4 linked regions of the Drosophila melanogaster genome follow. The protein of the gene in region 3 interacts with the protein of the main gene of each other region in a pairwise test. Each region holds a gene or a part of one and is shown on either strand. Other genes may lie near its edges.

Evidence for each region.
Region 1: the proteins of CG3610 (region 3) and NAT1 interact in a two-hybrid assay, tested with the Drosophila melanogaster proteins (one large-scale study listed by BioGRID).
Region 2: the proteins of CG3610 (region 3) and CG15071 interact in a two-hybrid assay, tested with the Drosophila melanogaster proteins (one large-scale study listed by BioGRID).
Region 4: the proteins of CG3610 (region 3) and lva interact in a two-hybrid assay, tested with the Drosophila melanogaster proteins (one large-scale study listed by BioGRID).

The regions. Positions count from the first base shown.
Region 1 is NT_033778.4:12,914,041-12,919,128, reverse strand, and holds the start of NAT1 (NAT1), read right to left. Parts: upstream 3,136-5,088; 5' UTR 3,065-3,135; intron 1,272-3,064; exon of another isoform or gene 1,225-1,271; intron 1,135-1,224; 5' UTR 732-1,134; coding exon of another isoform or gene 1-731.
Region 2 is NT_033778.4:18,694,647-18,697,877, reverse strand, and holds CG15071 (uncharacterized protein), read right to left. Parts: upstream 1,294-3,231; 5' UTR 1,245-1,293; coding exon 624-1,244; 3' UTR 533-623; downstream 1-532.
Region 3 is NT_033777.3:14,843,457-14,847,331, reverse strand, and holds CG3610 (uncharacterized protein), read right to left. Parts: upstream 2,290-3,875; 5' UTR 2,126-2,289; coding exon 659-2,125; 3' UTR 595-658; downstream 1-594.
Region 4 is NC_004354.4:3,962,300-3,967,210, forward strand, and holds the start of lva (lava lamp), read right to left. Parts: upstream 3,029-4,911; 5' UTR 2,456-3,028; coding exon 2,402-2,455; intron 2,340-2,401; coding exon 2,268-2,339; intron 2,199-2,267; coding exon 2,118-2,198; intron 2,054-2,117; coding exon 1-2,053. Other genes in the region: CG6428 (uncharacterized protein), read right to left, coding at 3,521-4,222, 4,289-4,911. UniProt on the Drosophila melanogaster protein: Lva and spectrin may form a Golgi-based scaffold that mediates interaction of Golgi bodies with microtubules and facilitates Golgi-derived membrane secretion required for the formation of furrows during cellularization.

The sequences.
Region 1 (5,088 bases), on a different chromosome or scaffold from region 3:
CCTTGACCCAAAATGTCACTATTCTTTGGATAGTAACGCGACGACGACGAGTCACCCTGGTAAGATCGTCGAGGTCTTGGGCTCACCTCACTGTCGTGTTGGCGAATTTTGACGGAATTCTTACTATAGCCAGTGGAAAAGTGTCCGGTCGGTCCACCAGATGATCGGCTGCCGTTCCTGCCGCCCTCGCTGTTGCCGCTTATGGCCGGAGATCCTCCGTTGCCGCCGGCGCTCTTATATCCTGAGCCGTTAGAGCCGCCCTTGCGGTAATTGCCGCCCAGCGAATTCGATCCTGACGATGGCGAGGAGCCCTTGTCGATCTTCACCAGATTCTTGAGGTTGTTAAACGTATCGGTCGCTGTGGTGATCGGCAGAAGATTGGGACTGGTGTTGAGCAGTGTTTTGCCGACCGACGGTGTCGGTGGGGTTTGGCCACCGCAGCTGACGCCGATAACGCCGCCGCCTCCGCCACCACCGCGATTGGTTGGCTGCTCGTAATTGCGCTCGATCTCGCTGGGATTGGCCGTTATTACCAGTCGTAAATCGCTGCCGCCGCCGATGCTCTTCGTATCACCGGTGCTGGTGCCTCCCTCAATGATGATCGCTTTACCGCCCCGAAACTGATCTATGATGACGCCTGCCTGGTGCCCGTTGGTGACTCCGGACCAACGTTGCGGACTGTCGTCGTAAGAGTGCAAAAGGGGAGCGGCGTCGTACGTTGATAGAGGAATGGTGGATGCTTTTCTTGATCGACTCGGGGGCGAAATGGGTGCGTGCTTGGGTGGCACGGAGTGGGCTACTCTTGGCGTCTTGGTTGGTTTCCCCGTTTTCTGGGGATCTGGATCCTAGTTAAGGGTCTTAGATCCTCCTCGTCTGCTCTGTGGTTCTGATGATCCTTGGGGACACTCGACGAAACGCACACAAATCTAACACACACACGCGTACGCACACAGAGACAAGTTATGGGTTATGGGTGCTGGCTTTTTATCCAACTCTGCTACTGTTCCTTCCGATTTCGGTTCTTCCTGGTTGGTTCCTTTAGGCTAGAAGTAACAAGTCCTGCGTGGTAACACCTGGGATTCGTCTCTCCGTTTCGTTACGTCACACTGGGTATGGCCTTGCGTTTAGGGAATCCTGGAGAGAAATGGGAGGAGGAAACAAACAAAAGCCGGAACCGTGGCAAATTAATAAAAATGAGAATCAGACGAATCAACAATTACGTACAATTGTGACAAAAATACAAAAGAAAAGTGATCCTAGTGGTGTGCGTGTGGGATTATTTAAATGGACGTTATTTGCTAATCTCGTCCGATTGTTTTTGTTTACACTCGATTTCACTGCGAGCAAGCGCCAGCACAATAACAATAACATCACCTGCCATCCAAACTGGAAAATATGCATTTAATGGAAATAACCTCGGATGAGCACCTTCAAGTTTATTCCACTTCCACTCTCTCCCGCCAATTGAAACGGCACTGCCGCATTCTACGGAATCGCATGTGTGCAAGTGTTGGTGGCATTGCCATTTAAGCATTAAGTGCTGGGAAGATTATAATTAATCACAGGTTTACACAATGCCAACCAGCTTTGTGCCGTTGCTTAGTTTTATTTTTGCAAAGTTACTTTCGCTTGATTGACTCATTTGTTGTAGCCTGCCGTTCTTTGTTCCAGCTTTCTTTGTTTGGCGCACTCTCTCCCACCACAAACTTAAACAACACCAACACACATGCACCGAAAAGAACTAGAAGCTGCGTCCGTGTGTCAGTGTCCTTTCTTTGTGTTGGGGTTTATGGCCTCAGCTTTGGGGATCTCCTCTCTTTCTTCCTCTCTCCCGCTTTCCATTCAGCTGGCCATCCCGCTCGCACGCGATGCTGGTCTTCTGCGCCACGGAATTAAAGTCTCTTGACCCCGGGAAATAGGCAGAGGCGCACAACGAGCAGGGGGTTGCAATTGCTGATTAGCTGAGTCACTACTCCATTCCGCTCAATTTGCTTGGTTTAATTGATTGGCCATAGGACGACGAAGTCGCAAACAACCCTGCGATTTGTCATTGTGCGAGTACACCACATACATACATACGAACTTTGGGCCTGCAATAATGTAGTCTTTCGTGCGGGGAAGGGATAAGCCAAAACTAAACACCCCCAATGCGAAAACCCACCCTCTGCTGCATTGAGGCGTCGACCCCGACCTGAGAAATGAGCCCCCCCTGCTTCCGCACAGACCCAGTTGTGGATGATTTTGACCTCAATTCGAGCGTTCGGCTCGGCTCTTGTGCACAAGTGTTTGTCGCTGTCTGCATGTTTAACTGGCCAAGTGGCACACCCACATTGCAAACAGTATTTATTTTACTAGTTTTTCGGGGGCTTCAAGAGCAAATATCTTGAGAAAACCCATGAAAACGCACTCTTCTTTTTCCCCCATCGATAGTGACGAAAGCACACACACATGCAAGCAGCACAATGCGTGTGTGTGGGAGATCAGAAAGCAGCTGGAAGGCACACGCCAAAAGTGAAGCTGTGGAAATGGAATGGAAGAAAAAAAAAACTCCATGAGAGGGCTGTCTTCCCGGGGAGGGGGCACTGTAGATAACTCAAGCAAAGGCAGCGGGCAACGTCAACACAGCATTTCAGATTTTCCGACGTGCCGACGCCATTTTGTGGCGCAAATAGGTGTACCTACACACACAGTCATACGCGTAAACTTTCTTTGTGTTTTTTTTTCTCTCGAAATGATTCATGCAAATTAACGTTTTGATTGACGAATTTCGACCCTGCTTGCTCTTGAAAATTATTACCGCGATGGAGCGACTATGGCATCTAGGGGAGCTCCTCACTTTTATTGATTTCACTACTTGATTTTTCGCCGTGAAGAAACGAGGACGTTCACACAAGCACACACACTTATACAGACACAATAGAATCGGTTTTCTCTGGCACATCGTGGAAAATTTATAGGCTAAAATGCGGAAAATCCACCTGCAAAGAAGTGTACTTTCCATATTCTCTCTAAAGACAGCAAAAAACCATTTGCAAAGTATACTCGTTAAATTATTTTTACTAACCTTTTCTTGAGTAATTTCGTATAGCAAATCACGCAAAGGTTCCACGAAATAGAGCTGGAACAAAAATCGATGTGCGTTTGGTTTTATCGGTGTAGCCAGAAGATAGTAGTATCGATTTTTCGCATGCAGCAATCGATAACCTGTTAACTTAACTAAAAATGTGCCAAGTAGCTATTTCACAATCCATGGTGTGGAACTTGGAAAAATATCGATGACTCGAAAAGCTATCGAACCGGCTCGACTACTCAACAGTGCTGCAAAAGTTTTATTTCGATTAGGTGTTGACAAATTTTGAACGACCGCAATATTTAAATCGTATTTCAAGCAGATCTTTTGTACAAAAACAGTTTCATTTATTAATAATTGATATACCTGCTTTTTATGTTGTTGCTTGTTAAACTATAACAAAAGTAAACTAATTTAAACTATTATTACTAATATTATTATTATTCGTAGATGACCAAACTGTAATTTTAAATTAGTGAGCGAATATTGTATATTAATATTGTATCCTTATTGATTCGAAAGATTTTGCTTTATAGTTGCTAAGTGCATTGAGTATATTAAAAAAACAGTATCTAAGCGCAATACAACATTTTTACCTCTGATGTGCAATGCTCGTTCATATCTAGAACTGGATCTTGTGAGTATAAATTTGTTAATTAAAACTAATTACTAAGCCCACAAACGAGGACATCATTTTGCTACCTTCATTTTCAAATTGTTTTCGTCAGCGTTTACAGAGGGTATAATTTTATTTAATTGAAATGACCGATCGTTAGCAACCAGTGACAGATATAGTTTAAATATTGCGGCACACATCAACATTGTAGTCCGTGCCCTAGGCCGCACTATCGCCTCGTTTGATATATGTATTTCCCTGGCATTATCAACGCAGTCATCTACAACCCTTTTCCCTCCCCAACTCCTTGCTGGTTTTCCACACACAAATATACACACACGCACACTCACACACTGTCGCACTCGCAGGACAACCATGAAGAAGTGGGAAACCGAACAGAAGAACAATTTAATTAGTGATGACATGTTGCCATTTAATTTTCTTGTAAAAAGCGTAATTAAAAATGTTCGGCTCGCAGCTGGAGCTGCTGGAAGCGTCAAGGTGGAAGGATAAGGACACGAAGGCAAAGGCGAAGCTAAAGGATTCGTAGGTAAACAAGCCCGCAACGATCATATATCGGTAGGTTGGCTATAAATCATATTGCGACTGACTCCGGCGCATATTAGGGCCTCCTAAACGATGAGATAATCTATGGTCGCAGCGACAACAAAATGCGGCCACCGGCAATAAATTTGGAAAATACAAAACATTCTGACAATTTTCCGTGGCCCGTATGTGTGCGTGTGTGTGTGTGTGTGTGTGTGTGTGTAGTAAGTTTGTGAGACTATCCTGGCTGGCTGCACACATCGAGGACAAAGGGCACAGGACACAGTAGTCACGTCAACACTTTCAACTCTTTGGGCTGCCTTTTGTTTCGCCCTTCGTCGTATCCTTTCGGCAATAAAAATTCCGTTTGCTATTTATCTTGATTGTCCCCAAGTCCCCAAGTCGCCATTGCCATCGCCATCGCCCTATCGCTATCGCCATAGCTATATAGTCCCGTAGTCGGGTTTATGTGCAGGACCTAGTCCAAAGTCCGGACACTTGAATGTTGGTCGCCGTCGCGATGCCTGGACATTTTTTGCTTAATGAAATGTACATAAAACTAAATGAAATTAAGTTTGTGGCGTGCTCGTGCCAAGTCCGATGGCCCACTCCACATTGTAGTCTAAGCCGTGGCTGCGTGTTTATTACCGCGTCGCGCATAAAATGCAAAGAGCCTTTCCCGCGCTCAAAATGGCCGACAGCGAACCCTTTTCCCGGAAATCGCAATCCCTATCGTCCGTTTCGCATTGAAAATTAAAGCGGTCGCTGGAACCGTTGAAGGGGGTGGACGGGGCGTCGCAAAAGCTCATAAAGTCGAAATTAAATAATTTGTCTTCTTAATTTTCAAATAAATTCT
Region 2 (3,231 bases), on a different chromosome or scaffold from region 3:
GGGGGTAGGGCTGAAAAAAAAGTATGGAAAAAACAGAAATGCCATTGCCACGTGCCGTTTGACCTTTCCCCATTGGTCGCCCGGCGAATGCGATGAACCTCAAGCTCGGCGCTCGCAAATGAGACATTTCAAAATAATCGCAACCAGAAATACACCAACAACAAGTATAGCAGTCGTGGCAGAAAATACCAGTGTCGCCTCCGTTTGGGAATCCTTCAGCCGAAGGCGAAAAAAGTCGCATCAAAAGGTCCTATTGATTTAAAAGGCAAGCAGCTCAAGGCAAGGTCTAAAATGTTGTTGATTACGAGTGTCGCCCATTAAATAAGGGCCCTGAAACAATGTCAAGAATTTCAGCAATATTTGTCTGCAAATCGCAATGCATGGCCATCGAGAAAAGCATTTGCTCCGTAATACTTTTTCAAAACTAATGGTATTTGCATTTAAATTGGATTGGATAATACTTTGTAGGTATATCTACTTTTGAAACTATTCCACTTGATTTAAAGATATTTCTTTATTGTTTTGCAAGCCTATTCAAGTTATAGAACAAATACAAATTTTTGGGATATTATCTATGTGAAAAAGTGAAAAAAAAACTAATCCAAAAGTTGCTGTATATTAATCTACATGCTACCTTTCCACAACAGCTTATTTTCAATTTCCATTTTAGCGTACTGCTCCCTCAGTTCTTCGAGTTCCTTTGAGTTCCTAGCAGCCAAGCGATACAATTGGGCATTTAGGCCAACGATTCTTTCCCTTAGAGCATTCACTGTATATTGGCTAAGACGTTCTGGCCGAAAGACATCCTCCTTAACGGTGGCCACAAAATGCCACATATCCTGAAGCTCTCCACGCTTTTCGCTGCTATATAGCTTAAGTTTTTCATGGAGCACAAGTTTCTCCTGTTCGATTTCGTTGATCAGACCTATTAGATCTGCCGTGGAGGAACTGTTGGGTCGTGGATTTCGACCAGTTTCCGGCTCTTGGCAAGACTCGGTCTTTGAATCTGTGCCCTCATCATCTTTGAGTATGAAATTATTGGGATTCAGCTTGACTTGATTGCATTCGAGATATTTTTGCTGCGCCTTCAGGCGCGTCAATTCACACAGAATGGCGGTAGGTGTTAGTTTTGCCGCCCTGATCTTGGGCGGAATTTTAACTTGATTCCGTTTACGAGCGGGTTTTTCCGGCGGTTGAGCCCTTGGAGCCGTTGGCTTTTGTTCATCGTCTTTTGGATTTTCCATTGGGGCTTCGGTAGCATGTGATTGTTGCACAACATCCAAGGAGAGAGTCGTTGCAACTTCTGCAGCGCTCGTTTGGTTGTTCTTATTTACACGCGGTAATCAAACGTGTTGCCAGCACACCCAACCACCCACCCACTCCTTCCACGTGTTTAATCGATATGCAACCTTTCCACCCCCCTCGATTTTTCCGGCTGCTGTGCCAACAATTCTATGCTTCTGCCGGGGGTCAGTAAACTTTATTTGGCTTGGCTGGATTTTACAATTTTCCAAACGGCAGCGGTAACTTTCAGTGGAAATGGAAAATCGATTAGTACAATTACTGTTTCCATGTCATGGCCTACTTAATTGCCCATGGAAATGGGACAAACGGGGTCGTGGCTTGAAGACCACTTTCGTGGCTAACTAATTTCTAATCAGTACTTGTGGGAGACCGGGAAAATCCACCTGCTAGCCAAAAACTCAAGTGACGATCAAATGTTTGGCGAGCTAATCAAGTTTCAATGGACTAACAAAAGTATAAAGTAAAAGTAGGAAATACAACAGTGAGCCTTGCTTTAGTGGAACTAATATATTAAATCACAATCTACAATCAATGAAATCAAAGCTAAGAAGGTTTATATATTATGCAAAAATGTTCGTTATATTTAAGATTCACTGTTAACTAACGAAATTCGTTTATATTTAAATTGCCTTTTTTTTTTATGTACGGCTAAAATTGCTGGAATTACAAAAGTGCTTGGTATGGAAGTTTGACTGTTTGTGCGGATGAAATGTTGATTTATTATTTGTTTTGCTATCGCCTGCAAAGTCAAATCGGGCAGCATTAACTTGGCGCGTGCTGTTTGTCTTCTGTCTCCCTCCCACCCACCAGCCACAACCCACTTGCGCCCACACCACCCACTCCGCTGTGCGACAGAGACAGAGAGCGAACGCACGTGACTGATTTGCGAATTTACTTTTCTTGCGATGACAAAACATCGTGGATGAAAAATCAGCAGAAGAAGCAACTCCACTGATAGCATTTGTGCTTATCATTGGAATGTATGTATGTATGCGTATTTTTTTTTTTTGCTGCAGATAGCATAGTTTTGTTAGTATCAAAAGCATACAAATATGAACGTGGAAATGCAAAGGAAAGGCAAAAGGTCGACCTTAGATTTAGTGCGCATAATTTTTTGGGTTTTGTAAACACACACACACACAGTAGAAATATGATAAAAACCGCAGACACACGAATGGTGAGCTGCAAAAAGCCGCGAAATTGTTAATAAAAAGGTAAATAAAAATTGTTAAACGATTTCAGCCACCCATCTCGCTCGCTCATCATCTCCGTCCCGCTTGCACTCGCTTCTTTTCGGTCTGACGCGTGTTAGATGTTCAAACATGTTTTCGGTCTGCTGGCCAAAAGGCAACGCTCAGACGGCAGCTTAAATATTTGCCCATAGCGAAAGATCAATCAACAAATGTGAGCGAGACGGTGTGAATTGACCAGAAAGAGACGGGTAGAGCATAGGGCTGCACAGAGAGAAATAATATCGACATATAAATAATGAAATGTATAGTAGCATACAGTTTAAACAGTTTAAAAACTCACATTTGCAATGCGGTTTTTCATCTTAACTTGGAATGAAATTTAAAAAATATTTTATTTAAGTTCCCCTGCTTTTCTCTATGTAAAAACAAACACGAGTGGTATATAGAGTGTCTACGCTGCATGGCTGGTGCTTAATTGCATCAATTGGAGCATTAAAACAGTTGCCAAGGCAACTACAGAAAAATTCAATTAAACTAAAACTTGCCAATTGAGTGCAAACACATTCCGCACACAAAGAAAGTAAACTGAAATTCAATTTGAAAAACGGCACATGAAAGCGATCAAGAGAGCGTAGAACTCTAAACAAAGAAAGAAATCAATTAATACTATTTATATTGGCTAAGAAATGATAAAACTGTTTATTTCAGAGTCATTTCCCCCGCAGATTTTCAC
Region 3 (3,875 bases):
GTGTACTGAAAGCATAAATATATCTTTTTTTCTGCACATTGAAGCTGAAACTTGGAGCCAAAGTTATTGCCAGGGAAAGTTTCCGCAGGTCGTCAAGAGAGTGCTCCAAAATGGTTGCCAAAAAACTGACTTTGCCAACATTCTTGAGCCTTCTTCGCCAGCCAGTTATGAAATATAAACCTGTCTCCTCCGGCAGCCGGCTAATGAGTCCAGAAATGGAAAGTAAAGGAAATGTATGTAAGCCCGGTTTCAAAGTGCACTTACGCTCCCATCTGCGTGCGTTCGAACCGTATTATTGTAAACAAATTTCCAGCTGCAATGTCGGTAAACCGGTTGCTCGAGTACGAAACCTGGAAACCTGACCTGCTGCAAAAGCTTGGCCAAAGAATGGATAAGAAAGTGAATTTCATTTGCCATCCCGGCAGCGCCAGCAAAGTCTATTTAAAAGTGCAGAGCAGCAAAATGGAAAATTAAGCACATCCTGTGCCAGTGGGCTGCTTCACATGAGGTAGTATACTTGATAAATAATAGCCAACATCCAGGGGGGCGTAGGTTTAATAATAACCCGAAGAAAAAAACAAAAAGTACTTTTTTGTATTTTTTGTTTCTACAAGCCTTAATACGGGCATCTAGCGCGTATTAAATGAAAACTCATTAACTACTTCTTAAGGTTTAAAGACTTGATCTCCTCTTCGGTGAGAATGGATTTCTTGAGCGCTGAAAGAACTTCAGGTGGCTGCTTGGAGAGCAGCTTCATCCGCTCAATAGCCACAAGCTCATCCTGGCGATTCTGTTGGTTGTAGACCTCCTGTACAATGTCAACCACCTCCTGGGCAGCGGCTTTCCTGTTATTCTTGGCCTCCACGACCATGTGGGCCATGTCCTGGTAGCATTGGACATCCAAGCGCCGGGTGTTCTCCCGCTGGGCCACTTGCATTCGATACTGTCGTTCGCCGAAGCACATGGGATCCTTGGGCATGACCAGGGCATCCTGCACACCCTTATCTCGGAAGAACTTCTGCTCTTCCCGCTGGCTGAGGAGCTGTTCGCGAATCTCCTGCTTCTTGGCCATTTTGGTTCTAGCCTGTTCCAAGGCCTTCGCGTTCTCCTTGGCCTTGTGCTCGCGGATTAGCAGACTGGTGATGACTTGATCTCGGGACTCCAGATCGTGCTTGATCTGGCTGAGCTGGAAGCCCAGCCGAGCGGCATTAATGTCCCTGGCCTCGATCTCATCAAGGCGTCGTTTCCGTGCCTTTGACACATAGGCCGCCGTAACGGGTCCCAGGGCATCAAGGAGTCCTCTCTCGGGCTTATTCTTTTGGGCCAGAGCGTAGGCCTCGCGGGTTTGCTTCAACATGGCTGCCGATTGGTCTAGGGATTCGAGGAGCACCTTGCGCTGCTGCGCCTTTGTAACTGCATCCTTTAGGATTCCCTGCTCCACTATCTCCTTGCATTCCTTTAGCTCTTGACGACCCTCGGCCACAGCTATTCGATGATCTTGTATCCGCTTGGTACGCCCCTCGGTAATCTGGGCCATTAGATCTCTACGAAACACGGCTGCCTTCTGAGCCCTTCTTTGCTTCTCCTCCTTCAGCTCCTTTTCCACGGCTCGCTGTTCCGCCAAAGCTTCGGCCCGCTCCCGCTGCTTATCTTCCACCGTTTGTTTGATATTGTTGGTGATCTTGTTCTTGACAGCCAACGCTGTGTGGGCACGGGCCACTTCCATCTCGAGATCCCTCAAATTTTCCACATTGCGATGAAGTTGAAGGCATCTACTGGCCTCCACCTGCTGGCGAGCCAGTTCCCTTGCTACACCGAGGGTGACATCCACATCGGTTTGCTCCTTCCGTTGGCGCGGATGCAGGTGACTGTTGAGCATGGCGGCCACTTCGTCCACCTGGTGTTTGACCATTCGGAACAATGAGCTCTCCGCGACAGACGACTGTGTAAGAATGCGGCACACATCCTTATCAGAAACACAGTCGTCCTCGCCCTTCGGCATTGGTTTGAACTCGGTCAGAAGATTCGGTACGGGCTCCTGGGAGGCGGTGGCAAAAATCGAGGCTCCCGGTTCATCCCAGACAATATGGCCAACGCGATCCGACTCCGGTTGGAGATTTTCCATCGTGGTTCAAGAAAACAAACCACTTCCTTTTAAAGAAATTACTTAGGAAAATTTAACTGGGAATGAAATATGTGATATGTCAAGGCGTTTTGAGTGGTATTAGTTCACTCAAAATGTTTTTTTTTTGTGCTAGTAACCTAACGAAATCTACTGACTAACTGAAGACTGCTAGAAAATTTTCAGATATTAAAAAACGACAGTTTTCAGCTGGATAAATAAGTTTAGAAAATAATATTCAGGTTAATTCAAATTACAAGTATGTTATGAAGAATTAAGTGAAACAGATAAGAGCTGGCTAATATTTTTAAGCTGCGAATATAAAGCCACTTTTCTTGATTTTCTGTCATTGACAGAATCTGTCAATTGCCCACGATTACAGAATGTTCCCTTTATATCGGTAAGTTAGCTTACCGTAATTGAAAGCCTGTCCTTCCGTAATTTCAAATTACTTCCTCTGTGAGATTCTGGAAAGGCATTGTAGCTTTATGCAACTACTTTTCCTGAAGCTCAGAAACATGCACTCTACTGTGGGCTGTCTGTGGAGGTCTGTGTGGACTTCCAGTGGATTAGCATATTTGAGTGGGTTCTGGGCCAAGAGGCCAAGAGATCTCTCTCTCTCTCTCACCTACTGCATGGCCGCATTGGGAGCCACAAGCTCGACGGGGGCCAACTTAATGGGGATATGTGCATCAAAGTAAGGCTCAAGTGCTTCCCTTGCGAGCGCGTTGTTGCCCCGACTATTGGCTATATATACCTTTGAATTTGCATACGAATTTGTATGGAAAATCACAACCGAGCTAAACGATTGAGTTTCTGAGCTCGAATGCATTGCACTCAATAGAAATAATATTTCTCCTGAATTTAAAACAGCTATTGAGCTAAAAAGGTATTTAAATAAAAGTCAATTATTTACAGAATACTGAGTATATTGGAAAATAAGATAAAACCAATTATAATTTGTTCACAATTGCAATCAAACATTTTCAACATACGTATATTTAGAATTATAAACTATGGTAGACGTTCTAGAGCGATCTGTCGAGGATTTTTATCGTCTGGCTTCCATAATTTATATATAGTTATCTAACTGCTGAGCGCTGGTTAAATGCTGCCCTGTCATCGCCGTCTTCATCATCATCGTAATCATTGGAGGCAGAAAAGAGCGGAGCTCTCCCAGACCATCAGTCACTGTCCACGACAGAAGCTCATTGGCGGAGTCTCTGTGGCAGGAGGGGATTGAGTTCGTGGCGGGGGGGCATGGGGAATGGGACATGAGTAGCTCCAGTAGCAGCTGCAGCTTCCGAAGGCACTTTCCTCGACGCATTTGTTGGCTGTCCATGGTTTTTGCCGACCAGGGTCCGGATAACCTTTCCATTTTACAACTGTCAACGGCGCAGCGAACGCGATTTGCCAGCGGTTTGTTTTATTTATTTGTTTTTTTTTTGTGCCCCCCCCCCCCCCCTTATTGCCATTTATATTTTCCTCCTGTTTTCCCCAGTGTCGTAATTACGCGTAAAGTTTTGTGCCTGCATTTGAAATTGTACGCAATTTTCCCCGAAAGTGTCAACGCATGTCGGGGCTTTAAAGTTTTGAAAAATGTTAATTTGTTGTCGTTGCTAATGCTGCATTGGGTTTTTCTCTTTTATTTTCCTTTAGCCGCCAATGCAGCTGCTGTTTGAGTTGAGTTCAGTTTTGTTTGTTTGTTGGTTGGTTGGCAATTCGAATCGAACGCGTCTGGCATTACATGACA
Region 4 (4,911 bases), on a different chromosome or scaffold from region 3:
TCTCAAAGAGCACGGGGCCTCCTTCGCCGGCGTCCAGTGTTGCGACAACTTCGGAGGAGCGTTGCATTGAACTGAGTTCCTGCGAGAGATTGGATGAAGTGGACGTGGAGGAGATCAGATCCTTCTCACGTTCACGCTGCAACAGCTGAAGAGAACTTGAACTTTCCTCCAATCTTGCCTGGAGTTGCAAATTCTCGGCCGACAGTTGCTCCAGCTTGTCCAATACCTCTCCGCGCTCCTGGGTGAAAAGTTCGAGACGTTCTCTAAGCTGGGAAAGAGTTTCGCCAGAGGAATCCTCCTCCTCAGTTTGCTCCGTCTGAGTGAGCTCGCTGACGTGACTTGGCCCTGGTGGATGCACTTGCTTCTGCTCCTGGGCGTCGCCCTCGCTGGCCGGACGTCGTTGGCCTAGGCACTCTAAGTGATGACGCTCCACTATTTCAATGGATTCCGCAGAACTGGATGAACTGAGTAAGGCCTCTAGGGCCTGTTGCAATTCCAATTTCTGCTCTTCCAGCAAACGAATTGTTTCCAGCTGCAGTGGATTATTGGACTCCGTCGATTGCTCTGGCTGGCGGTCGTCCTCTTGCATGTTGGCCAACTGCCATTGACCCTTCTCGTCCTCGAGGACGGCGATCCTTTGCTGCAGTTCCTCGTTATCAGCCAACAGTGAAGCCAACTGCTGTTGGCCATCTTGGGATTGGAATTTCTGCAGCTTCTTTTCCGCCTGCTTGCATTTCAGCTTTAGCTTTATGTTGGCCTTGTTAGTTTCGTCCAGCTTTAGCTTCAGCTGCTGCAGATCCTCCTGCATCTGCTTGCTGGCGGCACTGTCCTCCGAATGGTCCTCCAGAAATAGGGGCTTACTGCGACTGCTTTGCGCGAGTTTCTCCTCAAGGAGACGCAGATTCACATTGAGCACATTGAGTTCCGTTGTCTTTTCTGCGAGTTCTTCGTTTTGGGCAGCCATTGCCGACTTCTGTTCCTGCAGCTCTAGAAGCTGCGCCGCTATGGTGGCTTCCAGTTCCTCAAGGCGCTGGGAAACAATCTCATCGGTCACCTGGAGCTTCGCCTGGGCAGCAACTTGCTGACGCAACTCCTCATTAGTTGCCTGTAGATCAGCCAGCTGGTTGGTAAGCTCCTGGAGCTGTTTGGCTAGCTCCGCGCTCACCTGTGCATCGGTATGCGCTGCTTCCGATTGCGGACTGCGGGAAGCCTTTTCCTGCTCTTGTTCCAACTCCAGATTACGCTGTCTTTCGCGCGCCGTGGTCAGCTCTTCCTGAAGTTCACAGCGCGTCGTTTCTAACAGGTCGTTGACGTTTTCCAGCTCTGCTAGTCGTTCTCTTAAGACTAAAACTTCGCCCTGGAGGCGAGAGTTTTCCTGCACCTTCAGGCTATCCTCTTCTGCCTGGACCACACGCAATTGCTCTAACTCCTCGTTTCGCTGGGTGAGCGTGCGCTGTAATTCCGCACCGGATAGTTCCAATCGCTCGATGAGTTTAGCGCGCTTGGCCAGTTCTGTACGCAATTCATTTAGCTCCTGTTCCTGCCGGCCCTGCTTGAGTTCCGTCAACTTCATACGACTCCTGAGCAACTTCACCCGGCTTTCGTCCACCGCCTCCTGACCCTGGGCCTCCAAGTCCAAGGCAGAACGATGGCGGGATACGGGTGGATTGGAGACAGACGCCGCGTGTCGTAGGTCCGTCATGGAAGAGCCCAGCTCGGCGGTCGTTTGGTGGCCAATATTCGACTTTACAGAAAGAAGAGACTTGGCCAGATCCCTCTTGCGCTGCTCCAACAAAGCACGATTTTGTTCCGTGCGCTGTGTGAGCATCAGAAGCTTCTCGCTGCCACTGGTTTGGAGTAAAGAGACATCACCGGGGTCGCTGTCCTTTGTGGGTGAGACCAGTGGAGTGGAGGAGTCGCCGGAGCGCGTCTTCAACACGGTGAGCTTCTGACCCAGTGTCTTAAGCGACTCCATGGAGTCACTCATGCTGGACTTGTGTCGCTCATCCTGGGATTTCCTTAAGGCGCGTTCTTTTAAGGCAGTGAGGCGCTCCTGAAAGCAATCATTTCGAGTCATTTAATGATATGAACCACTTGATTCACAGCGCCTAACTCACCTGCTGCTTGTACAGATTCTCTTTAAGGCTATCCAAACGGCCCTTGCCTTTGGTGCCTCTCGTTGTGCTGGCGGATACATTCTGTAGGGTAGATTCAACAGATAATATTGAATCCTGCTTCACTTGGGGGATTTGTTCAGATTTACCCACCTGTAACGAGGACAGATCGTTGGAGCTGCCCGCTAAGCGTATATCCGCCTCGCCATATTCGTGATCGTCGGGCTGCAAGTGGTCATGATCAGTATGGACGCATGTACGTACAGGGAACACCAAGTGAAACCCACCTGAACGATGGAGAAGTCGTAGGAGCTCTCCAAAGCACCCGAATCTTCCGCCATTGTCGTTTCAATTACAAAATATTACTAACTATCCTAGCGTACCGGACCAAATGCAGCAGCAATAACAAAAAAAAAAAAAAAACCAAAAACAAACAAAAACACAAATCGGGGGAATCGGGAATATATATGCGGACTGGCTATCTGAAGGACCGATTATATATCCACGGTGGCTGCGCAGCGCTAGCTATCGACATTGACTGCAACGAGAGAGGGTTTACCATATAGCTAACATATATCATCCGCTTCCGATCGGCTAGAATTGTCTTTAGCTTTGAATTTGCGTTTCTTGTTGTTCTTTTTATTTTATGGAATTCGTGGCACTGACGTGTGCACCTCTCTATAGATGTGTGCGTGTGTGTGCGGCTGTGTGTGTGCGAGTGGGGCTGTGTGTGTGTTTTGTTTGCTGTTTTTCCAGCGCTTGTGTCGATTTTCGCCTGGTTTCTGAGTTACAAGCCACTAAGCACTAGATTGCAACGTAAGAGCTTTCTTATGTGCACGCTGACAGATGTATATTTACCAATTCTAATTAATGCCAGCGTAAAAACAATTCGATACCAGGGCTGCGCAACAACTGAATAGGGTCACAAAGCCCTGGTAAGTTATCGAATGACAGATGGCTCGATAGCACTTGCGCTCGTAATCAATCAATCGATTACAAACTAATTCAAAAATTTTGCATTAATTTCAAATTGATTTTATTTATTTTCATACAACAAATTATACTAGTTTGTGTATATAACTTGTTATACAACCGTTTAATATGTCTGATGCTTAATTTTAGACATGATTGGTTAATTTTTGGTTTTGGCTAATAATATTATTGCATACAATGGATACATTAGTAAATAAGGACTACTTAAAAACAGGTCAGGGATTCGACACTTAATAATAAAAACTACCACGACAACATCGTTAATATGCGAGTTATGCAAAACTGATAATAAGGAACCATTAGACTAGATGCAACACTTAAGTACAAAAGAAATAACCCTAGCCTCCAGTGTTTGTTTTTTTCTTCATGCTGCAGGAACAAGGAACGAGGTATGTATGGTTCGGAAGAGATTTCTATGATTTTAGGACCTCCATAACCGCTGCGTGTCCGCCGCGCTCCGCATAATCCATGGCGGTCAGGCCGAGCATGTCCTTCTCGTTCGGATTCTCGAAATAGGGCAGGACGTATTGCACCACCTCCGGAAATCCGTGCAGTGCTGCCACGTGCAAGGCCGTCCTGCCCGAAGGATCCGACTGGGCAAGATCGGCACCGGCGTATTGATAGGACTTCAATCTGATCATCGATCCCCTAGCAGCGGCCGCGCACAATTGCTCGCCCACCGCTCGCGAAGAGCCCGTCAAATGAGCACCACAGTTGATGAGCAACTGGATGATCTCGTGGCTATCGGTGGCGACAGCCTCCAGAAGTGGAGTGCGGTCATACCGATCACGCACGTGCACGGACACCCCGTTCTGCAGTAGGTACTTAACGATCTCCACGTTTCCCAGCTGACAAGCCAAGTGTAGGGCCGTTCGCTGGTCATGATTTGTGCCCGACAAGTCGGCGCCATAGGCTTTCAAGTTGTTGATCTTCTTGGGATCACCTTCGGCCACAGCGGCGTTGATCATGGCCGGAAAGAGCGTTTCGCCCAGCTGATCCAGTTCTTGGGGCGAGGACAAGTGCAGAGACCGTGCCACTGCGTCCACCAAGTCGTAGTCCTCCATTTTGGGAGCCTTTAAGGAGGTCAGTTCGCCCCTCAGGCTTGACTGCATCATCTATGAAATGCACACATTGTGGATTATCCATATTTATGTATGTATTGAATTATAGTCGAAACTTACCTGCTTCTTCATATCGAGTGACCACTCCTCCTTGCCGATGACATAGGCCAGCTTGGCCAGCGCCGCCTCGGGCGTCATATCGAAACCGGGAATTACACCGACATCGCAGAGCACCTTGCCCGTATCGTAGATCTCCGCCACTGTGCCATTGGGACACTGTGTACAATTGATGATGATAACGCCTCGTTCACCAGCCGCACGCAGTTCATCGATGAGATCTTTTCGGTTCGATGGTATGTTTCCAGATCCGAAGGATTGCAGGACAACGCCGCGAATCGGTGGCGCCAGGAAAGCCCGGAATGTGGAGTGCGAAATGCTCGGAAAGATTCGCAGCAAGCCGACGTTCTCGTCGAGATTCAAGTGTACGCAAAACCTTTCAATAGTGCATGGCCGGAATATCAGGCGGTAGTCGACGTTCACATCAATGCCGATCCTGGCCAGTGGTGGAACATTCGGTGAGTCGAACGCGTCTAAGGCATTCGAACTGACCTTCACCGTCCGATTGCCGCGCATCAACTTATGGCCAAAGAAGATGCAAACCTCCGGAATGATGTAGTTACCGGCTATGATCAAGGCTGACGTAAAATTGTCCTTGCCATCGGTTCGCGTCTCAAAGATGGGTA